2 linked regions of the Callithrix jacchus genome follow. The protein of the gene in region 1 interacts with the protein of each later gene in a pairwise test. Links are inferred from orthologs where the notes say so. Each region holds a gene or a part of one and is shown on either strand. Other genes may lie near its edges.

The links.
Region 2: the proteins of CDK4 (region 1) and CDKN2B interact in binary tests that used the Homo sapiens proteins (3 or more experiments, as listed by UniProt). The link is inferred for Callithrix jacchus from reciprocal best matches to the Homo sapiens genes CDK4 and CDKN2B.

Annotation. Positions count from the first base shown.
Region 1 is NC_133510.1:61,950,142-61,960,143, forward strand, and holds CDK4 (cyclin-dependent kinase 4), read left to right. Parts: upstream 1-4,582; 5' UTR 4,583-4,706; intron 4,707-5,113; 5' UTR 5,114-5,132; coding exon 5,133-5,347; intron 5,348-5,503; coding exon 5,504-5,639; intron 5,640-5,756; coding exon 5,757-5,924; intron 5,925-6,081; coding exon 6,082-6,191; intron 6,192-7,357; coding exon 7,358-7,408; intron 7,409-7,544; coding exon 7,545-7,680; intron 7,681-8,236; coding exon 8,237-8,329; 3' UTR 8,330-9,433; downstream 9,434-10,002. Other genes in the region: E3 ubiquitin-protein ligase MARCHF9, read right to left, coding at 410-1,441, 1,931-1,972; TSPAN31 (tetraspanin-31), read right to left, coding at 9,555-9,629, 9,713-9,826.
Region 2 is NC_133502.1:129,001,812-129,011,940, forward strand, and holds CDKN2B (cyclin-dependent kinase 4 inhibitor B), read right to left. Parts: upstream 6,214-10,129; 5' UTR 5,867-6,213; coding exon 5,711-5,866; exon of another isoform or gene 5,545-5,710; intron 3,167-5,544; coding exon 2,906-3,166; 3' UTR 1,301-2,905; downstream 1-1,300. UniProt on the Homo sapiens protein: Interacts strongly with CDK4 and CDK6. Potent inhibitor. Potential effector of TGF-beta induced cell cycle arrest.

The sequences.
Region 1 (10,002 bases):
CGGGGAGGAATACTGAGCGAAGCAAGGGCGCTGGCTGGGCCCCTCCCTTCAAGGTGGTCACAGAAGCACTCTCCTTTCTGCCCACCTGCAAGAGTGAGTCTCCTCCCCTCAGCTTACGGAGACCCTGGGGCGAGGGAAACTGGAGAGAACAGCAGTCCCTCTTAATGGTGAAAGGGATTTTGCGCTCTCCGGAGGGAAAGCCCCACCCCTTCCTAGGGACCCTAGACCCCCCAACACAAACAAGCGCTCCAGGAGTCCCCTGCCAGCCCCTTGGCCTCACCCCATTCCCACTCCGGGTCCTGGGGCCCCGCCCAGCCTCCTCAGGCCCCGCCCCTGCTCGCGGTCCCCGCGGACACCCCCAGGTGCGCTCCCCCACCCCTCCGCGCCCGGCCAGGTGCCCAGGCCTGACCTGCTCCGGGCCCTGGAAGCAGATCCGGCACTGGGGGGTTCGGAGTCCACTGTCCAGGCTGCTACTGAGTGACAAGGCGTCCAGCGCGCCCGGGGGCGGCAGCGGCGGCGCGGGCGGCGGCAGGGGTCCAGCCCGCGGCTCCTTGTCGCCGGCCAGGCCCCGGGCCCGCGGCTCCGACCCGTAGTACTCCTCCTCGTCGCCGTCGCCGTCCCGGGTGGAGCAGCTGGCGAAGGGCGCCCAGCCGCAGCCGCCTCCCCCGCCCCCCCGGGGCTGCGGCTCGGCCCGGGGCCGCCCCCCGCCCGTCAGCACCAGCAGCTTCAGCTCGTTCAGGAACATGCGGAGCCGAGACTTGAGCATCGTCCGGGCGCCGGGGGCGGGGGGCGGCGTGCAAGGGGGGCTCGCTGGCGGCGGGGGGAAGGGAGAGGACAAGGCCGGGAAGGGGGCGCGCGCTGGAGAGCCGAGCCGGGCCGGGGTCTTCGGGGCCTGCGACCGCCGTTCACTGCTGCCACCGCCGGGGCTCTGGGGCTTGAGGAGCCGAGTGGGCTGGCGGCCCGGGGGTGGCGGGGTGGGCGGCCATGGCCGGGGCAGGGGGCGGGGAGAGGGACTCAGGGTGCCGCGCCCCGCGGGTCCGGGTCCGGAGCGGGCCGGGCCCCCGGGGTTACACGCCCAGGTCCTCCTGCGGCGGGGCCGCCCCCCATGGCCGTCCTCCCGGTTCCAGTCTCGCTCCGGCTCGGGGATCAGGCTCGGCTCGGCCCGTGCGCTCGGTGGTGGCAAATGGCGGCTCCTTCCGGCGGCGGCGGCGGCGGCGGAGACCCCCCCGGAGCGGCGGGCGGGCGGGGCGGGAGCCGGGGAGCGGGTGAAGGATGGAGGGAGGGGCGGGACGGGGAGGGGGAGAGAAGAAGGGGCCGCGGCTGCGCATCCCCTCCCTGCCCCGCCAGAGCAGGTGTCCCCAGGGGCGGGGGCAAGTGTGCGAGCCCGGGGAGGGTGGAGGAAGGGGAGTGGCCAAGGAAGGGGAGTGTGCACACGAGTAGACTAGGTGTGTGTCTGGGAGTGGGGGATGAGCGGGTGAGCATGGAAGGTGAGTGGTCAAAGGACGCAGGTGTACCAGGGAGGGAGAAGCTTGCGCAAAATGGGAGTGTGCAAAGAAAGAGCTGTGCAAGGGTCGGAGGTATGAGAGAGGTACACACATGGGCAGGGGAGGGACTCAAGCAATATACACTTTACCCAAAGGGCTGAAAAGTGTGCTTGATGGGGACTGGGAAAGAGGTGTGTAAGGAATGGAATCGGATTGCCTGAGAAACAGAAGCCTCTGACTGTAATGTGAGGAGGTGAGTGAGCAGGAGGTAGGCGTGCTACAGGGATGGGCGTGTCTTTCCTGGTACTCTCCTGCAGTGACCTCCACTACATTGAAGTGAACAACACACACACTTAGCCTTTGCTTTTATGGAGCCTTCTCTCTGAGAACAAGTTCTACCCCATCACATTTTTTTCTGCCTCACACTTACATTCTCCCTCTCCTACCCTTTGCAAAGCTGAGGGAAAAGGGATTTCAGGGGAGCCCATTGGGTCAAACACACTGGGAAAAAATTAATTAGTGAAAGAGTAATTAACAGAAGAAGGGAGGAGACAGAGCCTGGGACAGACTGCCAAATTAAGGTTCCTCAAAGAAAGTGATGGAGAGACAGTAATGTTCCCATGAAATATTCAAATGGTTTGGATGGACTAATGAATGAATCAGAAAAAGGGGCTGGGACCCAAGCAGACAGAGAGGATGGCTTCTGTTTTAAAGAGAGTAAGCTGTGAGGCCAGGAACGGTAGCTCACACCTGTAATCCCAGTACTTTGGATGGATCATCTGAGGTCGCAAGTTTGAGAACAGCATGACCAACAGGGAGAAACCCTGTCTCTACTAAAAATACCAAAAAAATTAGCTGGGTGTGGTGGCAGGCACCTGTAATCACAGCTACTTGGGAGGCTGAGGTAGGAGCATCACTTGAACCCAGGAGGTGAAGGTTGCGGTGAGCTGAGATGGTGCCATTGCACTCCAGCCTGGACAACAAGAGTGAAACCCTGTCTCAAAAAAATAAAAGAGAGAGAGAAAGCTGGGATGGGCTTATGCGGAAGGTGAGGCTGAAGTGGGGAATGCTGATGTGGGCAGGGAGTTTGAGAAACTCACAGACACTTATCTTAGCTTTCCAGAAGGCTTACAAAGCACCCACCCCAGCAAGGGAGCCAATAAAACATTCACCTCTTGAGCCCCTTAGTCAGTTCAGTCCTTGAGGTTTTTTTTTTACTAGTGTTCCAGTTGCCCTTACCAGGAGGGACCCAGGGCTACAAGTATCAGGATGGAAAGAGGAGGCATCTGTATTAACATGTATCCTGTTTTGCTCTAAATAATAGTTTATATTCATCTTCTAGTTTGAACTCTTATATTCTCAGCCAGATGGTTCAGGAAAACAGAAGTTAGGGTGGAAGGAGTGGCAAATAAGGTAATAAACCAGCTTTAGATTTTAGACAAATTCAGCTGGGCACAGTGTCTCACGACTGTAATCCCAGCATTTTGGGAGGCTGAGGCAGGCAGATAACTTGAGGTTGGGAGTTTGAGACCAGCCTGACCAACATGGAGAAACCCTGTCTCTACTAAAAATACAAAATTAGCTGGGATCACAGGCGTGGTGGCACATCACACTATTGCACTCCACCCCTGGCAACAAAGCGAAACTCCGTCTCAAAAAATACATATATATTTTGTCTAAAATATACATTTATATATATTTTTAGACAAAAAATATATATTTATATATATTTTAGACAAATTGTCAATTCTCACAAATGAGACACTAACCACTTTCCTCCTTTACTCCCATACCCCTAAAGGGCTGGGAGATAAAGAACCTGGAGCCAATAAAACAAAAAAGGTAGGAGAAATCTACCTCTGTCAACCTAGGTGTCTGTGGGCAGAGGCCATTTGGGAAAAATGGTGCTAAGTGCTGGTTCTGGATGGTGCTAAGTGCTAAGAAAGCTGCACTAGGGAAAAAGGGAAGCACAGTGACTCCAAATGAACAGTCACAAGCTTGCAGAAAAGCACGTCATTCCCATTTACTGTGGTTGTCTGGAGGGTGCAGGGGGTGTGGTGGTAACTTCTTGCACATGCGCCTGTCTACGACATGTAATAAGTAATATAACATACATACATATATATATACCTAGAAGTATATATATACACACATATATCTTAATCTCACATAATCATAGAATCTTCCTACTGAAAAAACAAAAACAAAAAACATAAAGGTCAAGTATTCCTGTCTCCTGCTCATCAATAACTTCTCTGCCAGATGGCCTCAAGTCTTTGCATTAACACTTCCAGGAAGGTTTGGAAGTTGGGAACTAGAGGGCATTACTTTGCCACTGTTCCTGTTGTCTTACTGTATTAATCTGCCTTCTGTCCATCCCCTAATTGAAGTTTTGCCCTCCAGTGGGCATTGTCTACTACCTATTTTATAAGACCCCATTGTTGGCTACATCTTTATAGATAGTCGTACCACTACTTTAAAGAGCCAGTGACAGACACCAAAAACAAAACAAAATAAAAACCCACATACACACTGGCAACAAGCACTCAGTACAATTTTGTAGAATGAATGAGTGAAACAATGGCACAAATGAGAGTATGTTTTCTCACGGTGAAGCAAAAAGGTGATAGTACCACCTCTGGTCCCCCAACTCCCACCCTCTCCCCAATGTAGTCAGGCTGAAAGACCAGTGAAACAATCTTTCAGCCCGGAGTTGGGCTCTGGGTGGCCTGGGTTGCCATGGCACCGCCTTGGGCTCCACCCTCTCTTGCCCCCTACCGCGCCCCCCCACCCGCAGCGGGGTTGTGGCAGCTAGTCACGTGCCCTTCGCGTAACCACACCTCTGCTCCTCCGAGCAATGTCAAGCGGTCACGTGTGATAGCAACAGATCACATGGCTGTATCTCCCCTCCGCCCCTCTTACGCTCTTAGCTCTCCTCCCCGTCAAAGCGGCTCCTGGCCGCCCCCACAGCGCTTGGCTGGCGGTCACGTGCCCAGAACGTCCGGCGTTCGCCCCGCCCTCCCAGTTTCCGCGCGCCTCTTTGGCATCTGGTCACATGGTGAGGGTGGGGGTGAGGGGGCCTCTCTAGCCTGCGGCCTGTGTCTATGGTCGGGCCCTCTGCGTCCAGCTGCCCGGGACAGAGCCCGGGTGTATGGGGCCGCAGGAACCGGCTCCGGGGCCCCGATAACGGGCCGCCCCCGCAGCACCCCGGCCTGGCGTGAGGTAAGTGCAGCCCCATCCCAGCTTTCCACGCGTGCGTTTCGAGAGCTGGTTATGAAAGGGTCGTTCAAGGGCGGGAAATGGGGCCTTTGTGGTCGTGGGAAGGTATAATTTTAGGGACTGAGGTGTAAGATCTTCGATGCAAGGCGTGTGTCATGTGTGATCTTTGTACGGGGCGCGATTGTCCCAAAAGAAAAGGCATTTTTTATTGTAGGGCCTCACGTGGCTGCAGGGGTTGGTATTGAGTCATTGTGTTATCTCCGGGGCCGGCCCAAGGAAGATTGGGAGCGGGGGATGGGATGCTGGTGTTGTTCTTTGTGCTTTTTCTTGGGAGTCCCTTTGTTGCTGCAGGCTCATACCATCCTAACTCTGTAAGGGACTTTTAGTGATAGGAGTCTTTGTGATTGTAGGGTCTCCCTTGATCTGAGAATGGCTACCTCTCGATATGAGCCAGTGGCTGAAATTGGTGTCGGTGCCTATGGGACAGTGTACAAGGCCCGTGATCCCCACAGTGGCCACTTTGTGGCCCTCAAGAGTGTGAGAGTCCCCAATGGAGGAGCTGGAGGAGGCCTTCCCGTCAGCACAGTTCGTGAAGTGGCCTTACTGAGGCGACTGGAGGCTTTTGAGCATCCCAACGTTGTCCGGTGAGAAGGCGGTGGAGGGTTGGGAGTGGGCAGTAAAGGGAAAAGACAGTCTATAGGTGGGGTGTGGTGATCTGGTGAGAAGTGGGGACCCAGAGGAAATAATGAGAGGTCATGTGGGTTAAAGGGGATTGACAAGTGAGCATTTACTCTGGCCAGGCTGATGGATGTCTGTGCCACATCGCGAACTGACCGAGAGATCAAGGTAACCCTGGTGTTTGAGCATGTAGACCAAGATCTAAGGACATATCTGGACAAGGCACCCCCACCAGGCTTGCCTGCAGAGACCATCAAGGTGAGTGGGGTTGGTAGGCATTGAGAGGTGAATTGGGACCTTTGTAGTAGAACCTCCTGGGATTTCAGGGATGGTGCCTAGTTTCCAGTGCATCTGTTCCTCCCCCTTCTGAACTAGGATCTGATGCGCCAGTTTCTAAGAGGCCTAGATTTTCTTCATGCCAATTGCATCGTTCACCGAGATCTGAAGCCAGAGAACATTCTGGTGACAAGTGGTGGAACAGTCAAGCTGGCTGACTTTGGCCTGGCCAGAATCTACAGCTACCAGATGGCACTTACACCTGTGGTCAGTAGAAAGATGGTACCAATATGGGTTCTGGTTGGGAGTAGGAGAGTGGTGGCCCATAACAATTGAGAAGTCATGTGCTTCATGTGTTCAGTTAAGTCAGTTGTATTTCATGGTAACGCATGGGATCCCCATCCATTTTTCCTATCCCCTTTAGGTGGTTACACTCTGGTACCGAGCTCCCGAAGTTCTTCTGCAGTCCACATATGCAACACCTGTGGACATGTGGAGTGTTGGCTGTATCTTTGCTGAGATGTTTCGTCGAAAGTATGGGACCCACATACCCTGGACCACCTTGAATTCCCCAAATCTCTTGTTCATAAACCACATCCAAACCTCCCTTCCATTCTTCTTCTTTTTTTTTTTTTTTTTTGTTGGAGACAGGGTCTTCTCTGTTGTCCAGGCTAGATTGCAATGACATGATCACAGTTCACTGAAGCTTCAACCTCCTGGGCTCAAGTGATCCTCCCATCTCAGCCTCCCGAGTAGCTCACACTATAGGCGCACACCTCCATGCCTGGCTATTTTTTAATATTTTTGTAGAGATGGGGTCTCAGTATATTGCCCAGGCTGGTCTTGAACTCTTACACTCAAGCAGTCCTCCCAACTCTACCTCTCAAAGTGCTGGAATTACAAGCATGACCTACTGCACCTGGCCCCATTCGTTTACTTGAGTTCTACTGACTACCTTGGCCATAACGGGAAGCACTAAAATGTTCTGGAATTGGGAACTTCATATCCCTTTATTCTCCTTTATTTATTTATTTATTTGAGACAAGGTCTCACTCTATCACCCAGGCTGGAGTGCAGTGGCACAATTACAGCTCACTGTACCCTCTACCTCTTGGGCTCAAGCAGTCCTCCTGTCTCAGCCTCCTGAGTAGCTGGGACTACTACAGGCGCACGCCACCATGAATGGCTTTTTTTTTTTTTTTTCAAGACAGAGTGTGGCTCTGTTGCTAGGCTGGAGTGCAGTGGTGCGATCTTGGCTCACGGCAACCTCTACCTCCCGGGTTCAAGCAATTCTTCTGCCTCAGCCTCCCGAGGAGCTGGGACTACAGGTGTACACCACCGTGCCAAGCTAATTTTTATATTTTTAGTAGAGACGGGGTTTCACCATGTAGGCCAGGATGGTCTCCATCTCTTGGCCTCATGATCTGCCCACCTCTGCCTCCCAAAGTGCTGGGATTACAGGCGTGAGCCACCGCACCTGACATTTTTTTTTTTTTTTTTTTTTAAGAGACAAGGTCTTGCTTGTCCAGGCTTATCTAGAACTCCTGGGCTCAAAGAGTTGTCTCACCTTAGCATCCCAAAGTGCTGGAATTACTGGTCTTTATTTGCTATACTTTTTATTTTGGGCTACTAAGTAGTAACAGCCATTCGACTATGATACTTTAAAAATGACAGCTACCTTATGTCTCTTCTTACCTTAGGCCTCTCTTCTGTGGAAACTCTGAAGCTGACCAGTTGGGCAAAATCTTTGAGTAAGTGACCAATATGGGAGAAAAATATTTTACATTCTGAGTCCTCTTTCTGCTGAGCCCAGGATGGCAACTGGCTCTCTCCATGGGGATGGGAACTGGAGGACCCTCCTGACCACAGCTCTCCTGTCCCCCACAGCCTGATTGGGCTGCCTCCAGAGGATGACTGGCCTCGAGATGTATCTCTGCCCCGTGGAGCCTTTCACCCCAGAGGGCCCCGCCCAGTGCAGTCGGTGGTACCTGAGATGGAGGAGTTGGGAGCACATCTGCTGTTGGTATTGGAGATGGCTGTGGGCACAGGGAGGGACTGGGGGAAGAAGCAGAGCAGTACACAGGGCCCTGGCCACTGTGGTTAATGAAACTTGGTTGGTAGATGGGCTGTAGTTTTTATTGCAGCTGCAAATAGCCACCCACAGAGAGGGATCTAAAAGAGAGCCCATCCTGGCCAGGCGTAGTGGCTCACACCTGTAATACCAGCACTTGGGAGGCTAAGGCGGGTGGATCACCTGAGGTCAGGAGTTTGAGACCAGCCTGGCTAAAATGGTGAAACCTCATCTCTACTAAAAATACAAAAAGTAAGGCAGGCATGGTGGCACATGCCTGTCATCCCAGCTACTCGGGAAGCTGAGGCAGGAGAATCGCTTGAACTCAGGAGGCGGAGGTTGTAGTAAGCCGAGATCACACCACTGCACTCTAGCCTGGGCGACAGAGCAAGACCGTCTCAAAAAAAATAAAATAAAAAGAGAGAGCCCATCCCAGGTATTGTCACTGGTGCACAGAAGTCTCTTTCAGTTTTCTTCATGGTTTTCTAACCTTTGCCTCTCCCCTCAGGAAATGCTGACTTTTAACCCACACAAGCGAATCTCTGCCTTTCGAGCTCTGCAGCACTCTTACCTACATAAGGATGAAGGTAATCCGGAGTGAGCAATGGAGTGGCTGCCATGGAAGGAAGAAAAGCTGCCGTTTCCCTTCTGGACACTGAGAGGGCAGTCTCTGCCTTTGTCTCTGAGGCTGTGGAGTCTCCACCTCCATCTTTCTACAGAGATTACTTTGCTGCCTTAATGATATTCCCCTCCTACCTCTCCTTCTGAGGCCTCTCCTTCTGCCCCCCTATTTCCTACACTAAGGGGTATGTTCCCTCGTGTCCCTTTCCCTACCTTTATATTGGGGGTCTTTTTTTATACAGGAAAAACAAAACAAAGAAAAAATGGTCTTTTTTTTTCTTTTTTTTTAATGTTTCTTCCTTTGTTTGGCTTGGCCATTGTTCGATTTGGAAAAACCACTTGGAAGAAGGGACTTTCCTGCAAAACCTTAAAGACTGGTTAAGGTACAGGGCCTAGGCAGTCAGTGGAGCCCCTGGACTGACAAAGCTTAGAAAGAAACTGAAATTCCTTCTCTAAATATGGAATTTAGGCCAGGCGTGATGGCTCACACCTATAATCCCAGCACTTCGGGAGGCCAACATGGGTGGATCACCTGAGGTCAGGAGTTCGAAACCAACCTGACTTAACATGGTGAAACCCAGTCTGTACTAAAAATACAAAATTAGCTGGGTGTGGTGGTGCATGCCTGTAATCCCAGCTGTTTGGGAGGCTGAGGCAGGAGGATTGCTTGAACCCGGGAGGCAGACATTGCAGTGAGCCGAGATCATGCCATTGCACTTCACTCTGGGTGACAGAACAAGACTCCGTATAAAAAAAAAAAAAAAAAAAAAGCATTTTTAAATGGCTTTTATATTCATTGAACTTTCTCAAACTGGGTCCTGCTTATTACAGGAAAGAGTTCTTGGTGGTTTTCTCCTTGTCTCTGTCCCTAATTTACCCTTAAAGCCACACCAGGGTATGTTGAGGTGATCTAGTATATGGACAGAGGAGGAGGGGGAACAGTTAAGAATGACCCCAGTCCATTCTATGCACTCCCAGAAGCTTCCCATATCCTCCTGGAGAGAGGGAGAAAGTTTTTCCTTTTATTCCTTATAGTCTGGCTCCCACTAAAATATGTCAAGGTGTAAAGTCTTGCTATTCCATCAATTGTAGGGGATATGACAAGGGGCCTTTCCTTTTTCTCAAACCAAAAGGGTTACAAACCCTAGATTTTCTCTAAGGGAGGAAGAGAAAGAGCAGAAGAGAAGTCAGAAGGATCCAAAGTCTCATAGAAAGGCACTGGGGTTGGCTCTAGGATCCTTCTGATTCCGAAATCTCATTGCTAGCCAAACACCAAGGATCTGTAGGAACAAAGAGAGAAATAAGCACCAATTCTCAGTCTCAAGTTTAAAAGGGTGTACATGAGGGAACTGGAGAATGTTACCTCTGTAAAGCTAAAGAAGAGTCCAACACCCCCTAGGATTTTCAGGGCTTCATCTGAATGCTTAAGAAACTTTTCTCCACACATTTGGCATGTGGGGCTCTGGCTCTTGCAGATCTGAGGATATAAAATGTGTGTGAAGAATGCAAAGTTGCTAGTCACCAATACCTATGCTGAATGTCCCCAGAAACTTTACTGTTATCTGACTAGTGTCCTACAAACTAAAATCTCACTTAGCTAATTCCCCAGCCTCTGTATCCACCCCTATCCCCTACCAACACACAGCCCCAATA
Region 2 (10,129 bases), on another chromosome or scaffold:
TACTTCTTCAGGCTGTTGATGAAACAGCTAAACCTGTCTGCCAGGTGGCTTCAAAAATAGAATTAATTTTTACATGGTATTAATGAGTTACTATTTCAGTACAACCAGGTGGTAACTGATACCCAATAATGTTTTAGGTTTGCTTTATACCAAAAAAAAAAAAAAAAAAAAAAAAAAAAGAAGAAAGAAAGAAAAAACTAACAAAACAAAACAAAAAAAAAAACAATATAATATAGCACTATGTAATATGCAATAACTTTTTTTTTTTTTAGTTTCCCTTAATATCAGTTGTCATTAGGAAAGATTCCACAAGTTACAGAATCTTTCTAGAAATGAAGTAACATGTTTTCATATCTAATTCAAGGGATAAGTTTTCATGACCCAGTATCGTGCAACTAGCAAATTTAAACATCTTGGAATTTAAGACATAGAGGTTAAGGTAAGGGATTTTATAAATCAAATGGGAGATTTTAAATTATCAACTGACTTCTTTCATACAGAACGTTTTCTAGTAATTGTAAAATACTATAACTTTAAAAATATTATTCTTGTAGCCCATAATGTTGAGTGCTTAAGTGATAACTAGAATTACATTTTCTGTCCCTTTGTGTGCTTTAATTTGAAAATGGAGGTTCCATTATCTTTGTTCCAAAATTTTGGGTTTTTATAGGTGTTTTTTGGGGGGCTATTCTCCATATTGTTGACATTTTAAAATAGATTTGAAACAAGCTGTTTGTATTTACCAGAAGTTAGAGAAAGAAATGCCTCCTTAGAAACTTATGAGGGAGATCATTGTATATTTCTGTTTTTTTTTTTTTCTTATCTTCATGTGTATCACTAATGATTTTGGAGGACACGCTGGTGCAATGGGAAGAAAAGCAAGACAACCATAATAAGCTTTTGAACCAGATGCACTTACTTTTTGCATCCATGGAATGAATATCTTCTGACCTTTGGCAAGTTATTTGATATTTCTTTGCCTCATTGTTTTCATCTGGGAAACAATACCTACCTATCTCTCAGGTTTAAGTATTAAATGAACAAATATATTTTAATGTATGCCTGGTACAGATTATATGTCAATAAACATATCCCTTCCCCAGTGATATATGCTCTGATTCTCAACTAATTTTCCCCAGAAATATGTTCATTTTGGGAACAGGAATTGGTAGAGCAGTGAAGAGTTGTGTGTTTAGCTCAAATGTGCTCTTTCTTACAAGTCTCTACTCTCAAATCACTTTTTTCTGTTTCTTTTTGCCTCTTTTAAATGTTAGTAGAATGAGCATTCAGAAGCATAATACATGTATAAATTTTATGTTTAATTTTCTATGGCATATGTAAGCAGTTTTTATACATTGTTGGTATTGCTTATAAATAATTATTACAAATGTTGAGATAAGGGAACTCCTGTGAACCTTTAACATTTCTCAGGAGTTAGTGGTAAATCCATGAACATATATTTTTAAACCAAATTACCCATCTCTTGGAGTTCAATCTGTTAATTCTTTATAAAGCAGTGAAGTATCAGTTTTTTCCAATGATATAATAAGCAACACTGGAAATTAAATCCCAAAGCAGTGCATCTTTAGTTTGTTCAGTAGATAGTAGGACATCCCACAAGCCATCATATATTTACAACAGTTTTTATACTCAATCTATTTTTTTCAGCAGTCTTTTGGGAAATATCCCCAGATAATTTACTAAATAAGTGCATCTATCTTCTAAAAGACATTTGGAATATTTCTTAGTCTGACCTCTGCACTCTGAGACACTCTATAAAGGAAACAATCAGAAATATTTAACAAAGAAATAAATAGGTTAAGGAGAAAGCAATCTAGGCGTTTGCACAGAGCTTGCTACAGTGCCATGGCTACATTTAAGAGCTGTAGTTCTTTCTACGTTTTAACTGAGAGCCACTAGTTATAATGTTATTTAAAATCTCTGCATTAAATAAGACAGTTACTGAACAACTAAAAAAATACAAAATATCATAAAAGCAAAAAGTAGCAATTCATGCGCGCGCACGCTTGTGTTTAAGAAACAAAACGTTACAGTTAACCCTTACAATTGCTCTCATTCCACTTCACCATCTCATCCTGCGCAGTTTGCCTCCGGAATGCCGCGGTAATCTCTCCTCAGTGCAGTAAGAACAAAGGCCAACACCCTCTGCAAAGGTGTTCTGCAGCGTCGTGGTCCAGGGATTTTAGGACTACGACGATCTTTGGGGGGACATCTGTCTTCGCTTGCATGTCCTCTCTTACCCCTCTGCTATCTGGTGGAGCTGGGCACGGGTCCCCAGCGCTTCCAGAGAGTGTGGTTTCCGCTCTGGATTTGCCAAGCGGCCAGACAAAAAGCACCGAGCACTTTCTGAAGCCCACCTCAGCCCTCGTCCACTTTGTCCTCAGTCTTCAGGTTTTCTTCCCCACCCCCCCCCCCACCCCCCGCTAGGGCCTAACCTGTGGGTTCACCAGAACTCCTCAGCAGACAGTGGGGTGAACGCATGGACTGCCCCCACCCAAATGCCAATCACGACTGTCTTCCACTCAGCGCTGGAGTCATCCATTGGAAGATTAGTAGCCACCAGGGTTGGTCAAGGATTTCATATACACTTTCCCTGAGAAAACCCGGAAAAGCAAACGACACCTGAACTTCACACACTCCTAAGTATCACTGGAAATCCGCCTGTGTTTGGCTTCACGGTGAGTGTCGAGGGCCGGATCCAGAAAAAAAAAAAAGTATGGAAGGTTATTCCTGGTAGGCTCCCCCTTCCTGCGAGTCTCAGACAGCCTGTAGGTTTACAGGCTTCCTGCTGCTCCCCTTTTGCAGCCTTCATCTAATTCGGTGGGTGGGGGTGGGGAATTGGGGAGGAAAATAAAGTCGTTGTGGGCGGCTGGGGAACCCGGTGTCAGTCCCCCGCAGCCGCGCGCAGGTACCCTGCAACATCGCAGTGGCCCCTCTCCTCAGCCAGGTCCAAGGGCAGACGGCCCCAGGCATCGCGCACGTCCAGCCGTGCCCCTGCCCGGTGCAGCATCACCAGCGTGTCCAGGAAGCCCTCCCGGGCAGCGTCGTGCACCGGTCGGGTGAGAGTGGCAGGGTCCGCACAGTTGGGCTCGGCACCGTGAAGCAGCAGCAGCTCTGCCACGCGGGCACTGCCCATCATCATGACCTGCCAGAGAGAGCAGAGTGGTCAGAGCCAGGGTGGAGTCAGGTGTGGGAGGTGCCGGCCTGGGTGAGGTGGGCGGAGCCTTTAAACAAACACCTATTTGTGAAGTATCCACCCAGTGCAGAGGTGTTCAAGTCTCCGGTGTCTGGTGTTTCTTCATTTGCTGATGCAATCTGCTTTCCCACCCCACCTTCAGGTTATACTCTACTCAGTACAAATTAAATGCCATTTTATTTTCTAAACGTGCAGAGACAAGAAAGTTGATGGTAAAGTGATGATCGTCATTGTGGAAAGCAAATCTTGATTTCCATCGGAACATGGGAATCTATTTTGTTAAATGATTTATAGGCACAGTTAAATTTATTTGGCTTTTAAAGTTTCAAATTATTTGCCTTGCTGACCCCTCCTCCATAATCTAGGTCTCAAAATATTTACTAGGAAGCCAACTACTGTTTGTCAGAAGTTGGGAGTAATGGTTTAGGGGAGAAAATCAACCACTATGTTTTTAAAAAAGTTTAGTTCTCAGCAAATCCTGCGGGGAAGGCTTTTATCTTGTGTCTGTGTTCATAAAGAGATTGTAGTGTGAAATTTGAGCCAAAGTTGGAGATTAGAAGGGAAAAGTAAATTAAATCATGCAAAATCTTATAAAATTGTGAGAACAAATGATTTTTGTTAAACAGTTCATCATTTTAAATTTAGAGTGTAATATATTTAATGTAATGTAAAACTAACAATATATTTATATTTTTCCATGTACTATAGGATTGTATAATAGCTAAGATTTTATAACGTTAAATAGTAAATATTTTGCTATATAAAAAGAGCTTGGGCCAGGTAATGTAATCCCAGCACTTTGGGAGGCGGAAGTAGGCAGATCACCTGAGGTCAGGAGTTGGAGACCAGCCTTGCCAACATGGTGAAATCCTGTCTCTACTACAAAAAAAAAAAAAAAGAAGAAAGAAAAAAAATTAGCTGGGAGTGGTGGGGCCGGTCTACAGCCCCCAAAACTCGGGAGGCTGAAGCAGGAGAATCACTTGAACCTTGGAAGCTGAGGTTGCAGTGAGCTGAGATCATACCACTGCACTCCAGTCTGCCCAACAGAGTGATGCCCCATCTCAAAAAAATAAAAAATAAAATAAAATAAATAAAAAGAGCTTGGATGTCAGCAGTCAATCAGGATGATGCATAACTTAGAAAAAGCGTTTTGCAGGAGTAATCCTATAGCAGCCATTTGTGTACATGAACATTATCAAAACATTTGCTGACATATTTTAAGTTAATTATAAGACAGTTTTTGGTAAATGTCCCAAATCAAGTTATGGGTTTATGTACTTTAAAATGTACCATTTAATTGAAAGGCAGTATACTTCTCATGTTTTGTTTGCTTATTTCATTAATATTAGAAATGTTCATTTCCTCCCTTGAAAACCATGATGTTATTTTTTTACTAGCGATGTAAGGTATTTTACATAGAAAACAGAGGGGAAAATAGCTGTTCTTAGTATTTCAGAAAATGGTGAATTATATATATAACTTGTTTTTATAATTATTAATAGAATTTTAAGTTTTAAAAAACCACTTTACAATATTTTTGCTCCTTTAAAATATCCCTTATTTGTTTTACCTCTATTCTAAGAATTCAAAAGAAATGGACACTTCTATAAAATCTACACTGTAACAAGATCCCTTAGTATTAGCTTAGTTTTGGAGGGTGATAGTGAGGTGAATACTGAATATGACCAATAGCCAATGGTAAAGTACAAAAGTGTTGTCCTAAGATTGTAAAAGAAATTAAAAATATCAGTACTAATTAAAGCAGGATTTGTAAACATTGAATACAAGTACTTTAACAATGAAGATAAAGATACCTTATTTATGAAGATCCTTTGTCATTCAGAAAGGACCTAACAGTAGCTGCAGGAATATTTTTGTAATCTGAGCACTGAGTATGATAATTAAATGAAAAATCTATAGAACTATATGTATATATTTTTCTCTTATGCATCACTTATAAGACATTGCTAACATAAAAAGAACTAAGTACTGTGGTTGAGGAATCCAGTCTTATTACTTTGAATTCAATTAACCTTTATGAGAAAACAATACAACAGATTTCATATAGTAGCTTAAAACTTTACATTGAATTTTTTCCATGTACTATGATTTTGTAGAATTCCTTAAATCCAATCCAGAATGTATAACTTAGTTTACTTATCTGTATCGTTGAAAGCAGGCAGACAAGTCTTCCTCCCCAAATAAACTTTCCCTTTCTCCTTTTTTTCCCAATTCAATCTATTCCTTGCATTTCTGATCATGAGATGGCAGAAAACAATATTTTAAAGAAAAGCTGAAACAGTGGGTTTTTCAATCTCTCTCTTTAGGATTTTTGTTGGGTAAAAGCCTGTTTTATGCCTGGGCTGTACACCTCCGGCCAAGGGAGACTGCTGCGTAAGTCTACACCGGCGATCTAGGTTCCAGCCCCGACCCACCGAGGCCGCGCCCCGCGTTCGCGCGCCCCCTGCCGGCGAGGCCCCGGGGCCCAGCTACCTGGATTGCGCTCCTCCCAAAGCGGTTGACTCCGTTGGGATCCGCGCCGGCCTCCAGGAGCTGTCGCACCTTCTCCACTTGTCCTCGCGCCGCGGCGCTGGCCAGGTCCTCATCGCTGCCGCCCCCACTGGGCATGCCCTTGTTCTCCTCGCGCATTCCGCAGCCCCCAGACGCGCAGCGGCCCGGGTAATCCACCGTGGGCGGTAAACTTAACGACACTCCTCCCTTCTTTCCCACGCCGCTCCGGCGCACTGTCTTCCTGGGAGAGCTGGACTCAGCTTCATTCCCCTCCGCCGTGCGTCTGCGGCTTGCGGCCCCGTTCGATGTCAGAGCGGCGGGTATTAGCTCCGGGCTTTTTCCTGGCCCCAAGAACCACCCGGCGCGACTGGATTGCTTCTGGGAAAAAGCGCCTCGCGCGGCCGCAGCCGAGCTCAAAGCGGCTCTGGCCGCAGGGTGCGGACGCGTCGCGGAGTCCTCACTGCCCCGCCTTGCTCTGGCAGAGTGGGGAGCCAGCCGGCAAAGAATTCAGTTTTCAGCTGGGCCAAGGGGCCTGCCTCTCCCCTCCCCCTTAGGCTCCGCCCCCTGCCCGCCTGCTCGCGGGAAGGCCCGGCCCGGTCGACGCGTCACGGCGGCGGGGAAGCCCGCCCAAAGGTGCTGGGACGCATGCGCCAGAGACTGGGCCGGGGAGCCGCCGGGACGCCGGCAGCACTGCTGGCTGGATGTCCAGTAAATCCAAGGCTAAGATTTTGGGAATGTTGACCCACTGCCCTCAGCTTCTAATTCCCAGTAGGCGGAGCAGAGGACTTCTGTTCCGTCAGCCTTAGGCCAGTTGGTTTCACTTGAGAGACGTTGGTGGCTCCCTTGTGGCTGAGAGAAAGGCACTGAAAATAACTCCGTCTTTCTTAAGATGTCTGAAAGCGACAGCTCTGCACCTGTCATACAAGTTAAATTCATCCCAGGCAGTACTTGAACTTCGTAAGTTTCATATCTTGTGTCAACCTTAGCAATTTTCTTTTGGACGTGTCTTCCTATTTGAATTAGTCAACCATAATAATAGAGAAAAATTCTGAGAATCCTGTTTTGCATGTGCCTTTAAATTCTTTCCATCTTTGCATTATGAATATAACCCTCAAAAAAGAAAAAAAAAAACTAGTTAGAGATTGAGAGTGGCAACCTGGAACACATAGACAAAAAAAATTTATACTTTAAGAATCTGAGATCCCAGTTTCATCATATTTGTACAGCAAATCTTTGTTTGCACTCTTACCTGTTTAAATCCACTTTGTCAAGCATTTAATTTTTTATTTATCGTGAGTAGTAAAGGAAATTTATGCAGTAATGATGAAACATAATAAGAGAAGGGTGTGGTGCTGGGCCTGTCATTAAACAGGCTGAACCTGTTATTAAATTCTCTTCTGAAGATTTAAATGCCAAGTGCCTTTTTTCCCCTTTCTAATCTTCCTAGGTGAGTTTGAATCAACATTTATTATATTATTTTAAAAAATTTCAGCTGATGCTAAATTGGCTAGGAAGAAAACAACAAATTATGGATTTGTTGCCTAAAAACTTTGGTGAGGAACTACACAAGTGAACGTCTCCTTAGAGTGAACAATTTTTATTTACAGAATCATTTTGGTTCAGAGTGCTGAGGAAGACAAAGTTTTAAAAGGAGGGCAATTGGTTGTATATTGCAAAATGAGAGTCTCCACCTGTTTCTTCTAGGATACCTCAGCTCTGACTCCTCATCACCCAAATCCCTGTAGCATGAGAGAAAGCTTTCTTTTAAAGGAAGTGGTGCCCATGGAAGTGGTGGTTAGGGCTGAAAATCTGATGGAGCCTCAACAGAGCTGAAATCTACCTGGACAGGGAAGGGAACTGCTTAACATTAATAACAATTTCTTTGTCTTTACCATCCAACCTCAATTTCGTAGTCTTCAGTTTCTTAATTCCTCTACCTTTCACTTTTATTCAAACTTCCATGTTTCTGTGAAAATGCCCTTTTATTTGTTGATGGCTACTCCATTTTTAGATTTGACTAGAGGAACCAAAGTCTACTTCTGGGTGAAACACATGAACAGATTGCTTTTGTCTTGGGAATCAGTCCCCATGCATAGTGTATTGGGGATAACAGAGGTGTAGGTAGAACAGGAGAAAGAGGAGGAAAGATGGGCAGTGGGAAGCAGGAGTCTTTAAAATGAATGACATTGGTTCTTTACCATTCACCCTGAGGGGCCAAGCCACTAGCCTGGTGTGGTGGATGTGGTGGCAAAGACACAGTCCAGAATATCTTCATCAGAAAAGCCGAGGTACTCCAAAATGTAGTGCACAGTCAAATGCAACAAGGGAGGTTGCCTTTTTGTTATTGGGATCTTGTCTCTCATAGATACAGTTATTAAGTTTAGTTCAAAGTAAGTAATGCAGCATGTCCTATATTCTAGAAGTTCAAAGTTGAATAAGACATGAGTCCTCACTTTTAAGAAACTCTGTAGTGGCACTAGAAACTAATAAATAGTTTCAATTTAATGTATATCCACAAGGTGCTTTGGAAGTAAGGAAGACCGGAACCTAATTTAGGGTGAGGGTACAAGGAACGTTTCTAAGAGGAGATGCCAATCGAAGAGAGTTTTCAAAGGATGCATCATAAATGAATGTGTCTAGAGGCTGGGTGCAGTGGCTCATGCGTGTAATTCCAGCACTTGGTGAGGTCGAAGTGTGTGGATCTGGATCGCTTGAGCTCAGGAGTTTGAGACCAGCCTGAGCAACATGGAGAAACTCTGTCTGTACTAAAAACACAAAAATTAGCCGGGCATGATAGTGCACGCCTGTAATCCCAGCTACTCAGGAGACTGAGGCAGGAGAATCGCTTGAACTCGGGAGGCAGTGGTTACAGTGAGCTGAGATCGCACCACTACACTCCAGCCTGGGTGACAGAGTAAAACTCGGTCTCAAAAAAGAAAAATGTCAAAGCAAGAGCTTTGACCTTGAGTTTCTCTGAAACTTATCAAAAAAATTAGGACAAGATAGTCTGAGCGAATTCCTGAGCCAATTTCTTAGGTGGTAAATGTGTCCGAAAAATGAAAACTGTAGTTGATAGGGAAATAGAAGATAATGTTCTTCTTTGACGGGAGCACAAAGGATGGTGATAGGGAAAGAACTAATGGGTAAGTATAATGACGAGACAGATGTGTGAGCTTCGCTAAGCAAGTCGGCTGAAAAACAACTTTGGGTAGGGAAAATGATGCCGGGGGCCTTCGCGCTTAGTAGCACCACGGACAGCGCTTTGCTTATACTCACAGGCCTGGGTGGTCCTAACCTGTTCCAGACAGAATTCTAAAGCTTCAAACTGTATCTTCCAAAGCCCCTTTTCTCCATTAAATAGAAAGGACCTTATGGGAGCTCAATGGATTTCTTTGAAAAATCAACCTGTTCAACCTGGTTTCCAAATATGGTTAGATTTTATCTAATATTCCCTGTATAAAGAATATCATACAGTCTATATTTAGAAGAAGAGAAATACCACGTACTGTGTAATCTGTCCCAAGTGCTTTACAACTGTTCCTTCCTTCCTTCCTTCCCTCCTTCCCTCCTTCCCTCCTTTCTTCCTTTCTTCCTTCCTTCCATCCTTCCCTTCTTTCTTTTTGACAGTCTTGCTCTGTTGCCCAGGCTGGAGTGCAGTACAGTGGCGTGATCTTGGCTCACTGCAAACTCTGCCCCCTGGGTTCAAGTTATTCTCCTGCCTCAGCTTCCTGAGTAGCTGAGATTACAGGCGCAGCTACTACGCCCAGCTAATTTTTGTATTTTTAGTAGAGACGGGGTTTCACCATATTGGCCAGGCTTACCTCGTGACCTGCCCGACCCGGTCTCCCAAAGTTTTGGGAGTGACATTACAGGCGTGAGCCACTGTGCCTGGCCCGTTGTTTCATTTAGCACTCATAAAACTCCTTGTGGAATGTGTCCATATTTCAATTATACAGACAAGCCAAAAGGATCAGAAAAGTTGAGTGACTTGTATACTAGCTAATCATTATTGGTGATGGGTATAACTTGTGCAACTTCAGAGTCTTGTTACCCTTTATACTACATAGTGTTTTTAGCAGCTGTCATGGTGGGCTTAACTGGAAAAAGAGTAATAAACTAATGTAATTATTATTCAGTCTACACTGTGTTTTCCAGATGGCTCACCTCACAGCACACCCTTAATAGACTTCAAAGATGACACTTCTCATGTAATACAATAGCACATTTGTCTTGGACAGTAGAGTGAGATTATGAAACATTTTACCTCTCTTTGAAACCCAGCTGTCTCTAGGGTGAAACACAATCTGTTGTTAATGCTTTAAACACATTTAAAAGATGAAGTGGTTGGGAACATAGTGGGCAGCTGAAACTTGGACTTCTCAGAGCCATGTCTTTTAATAT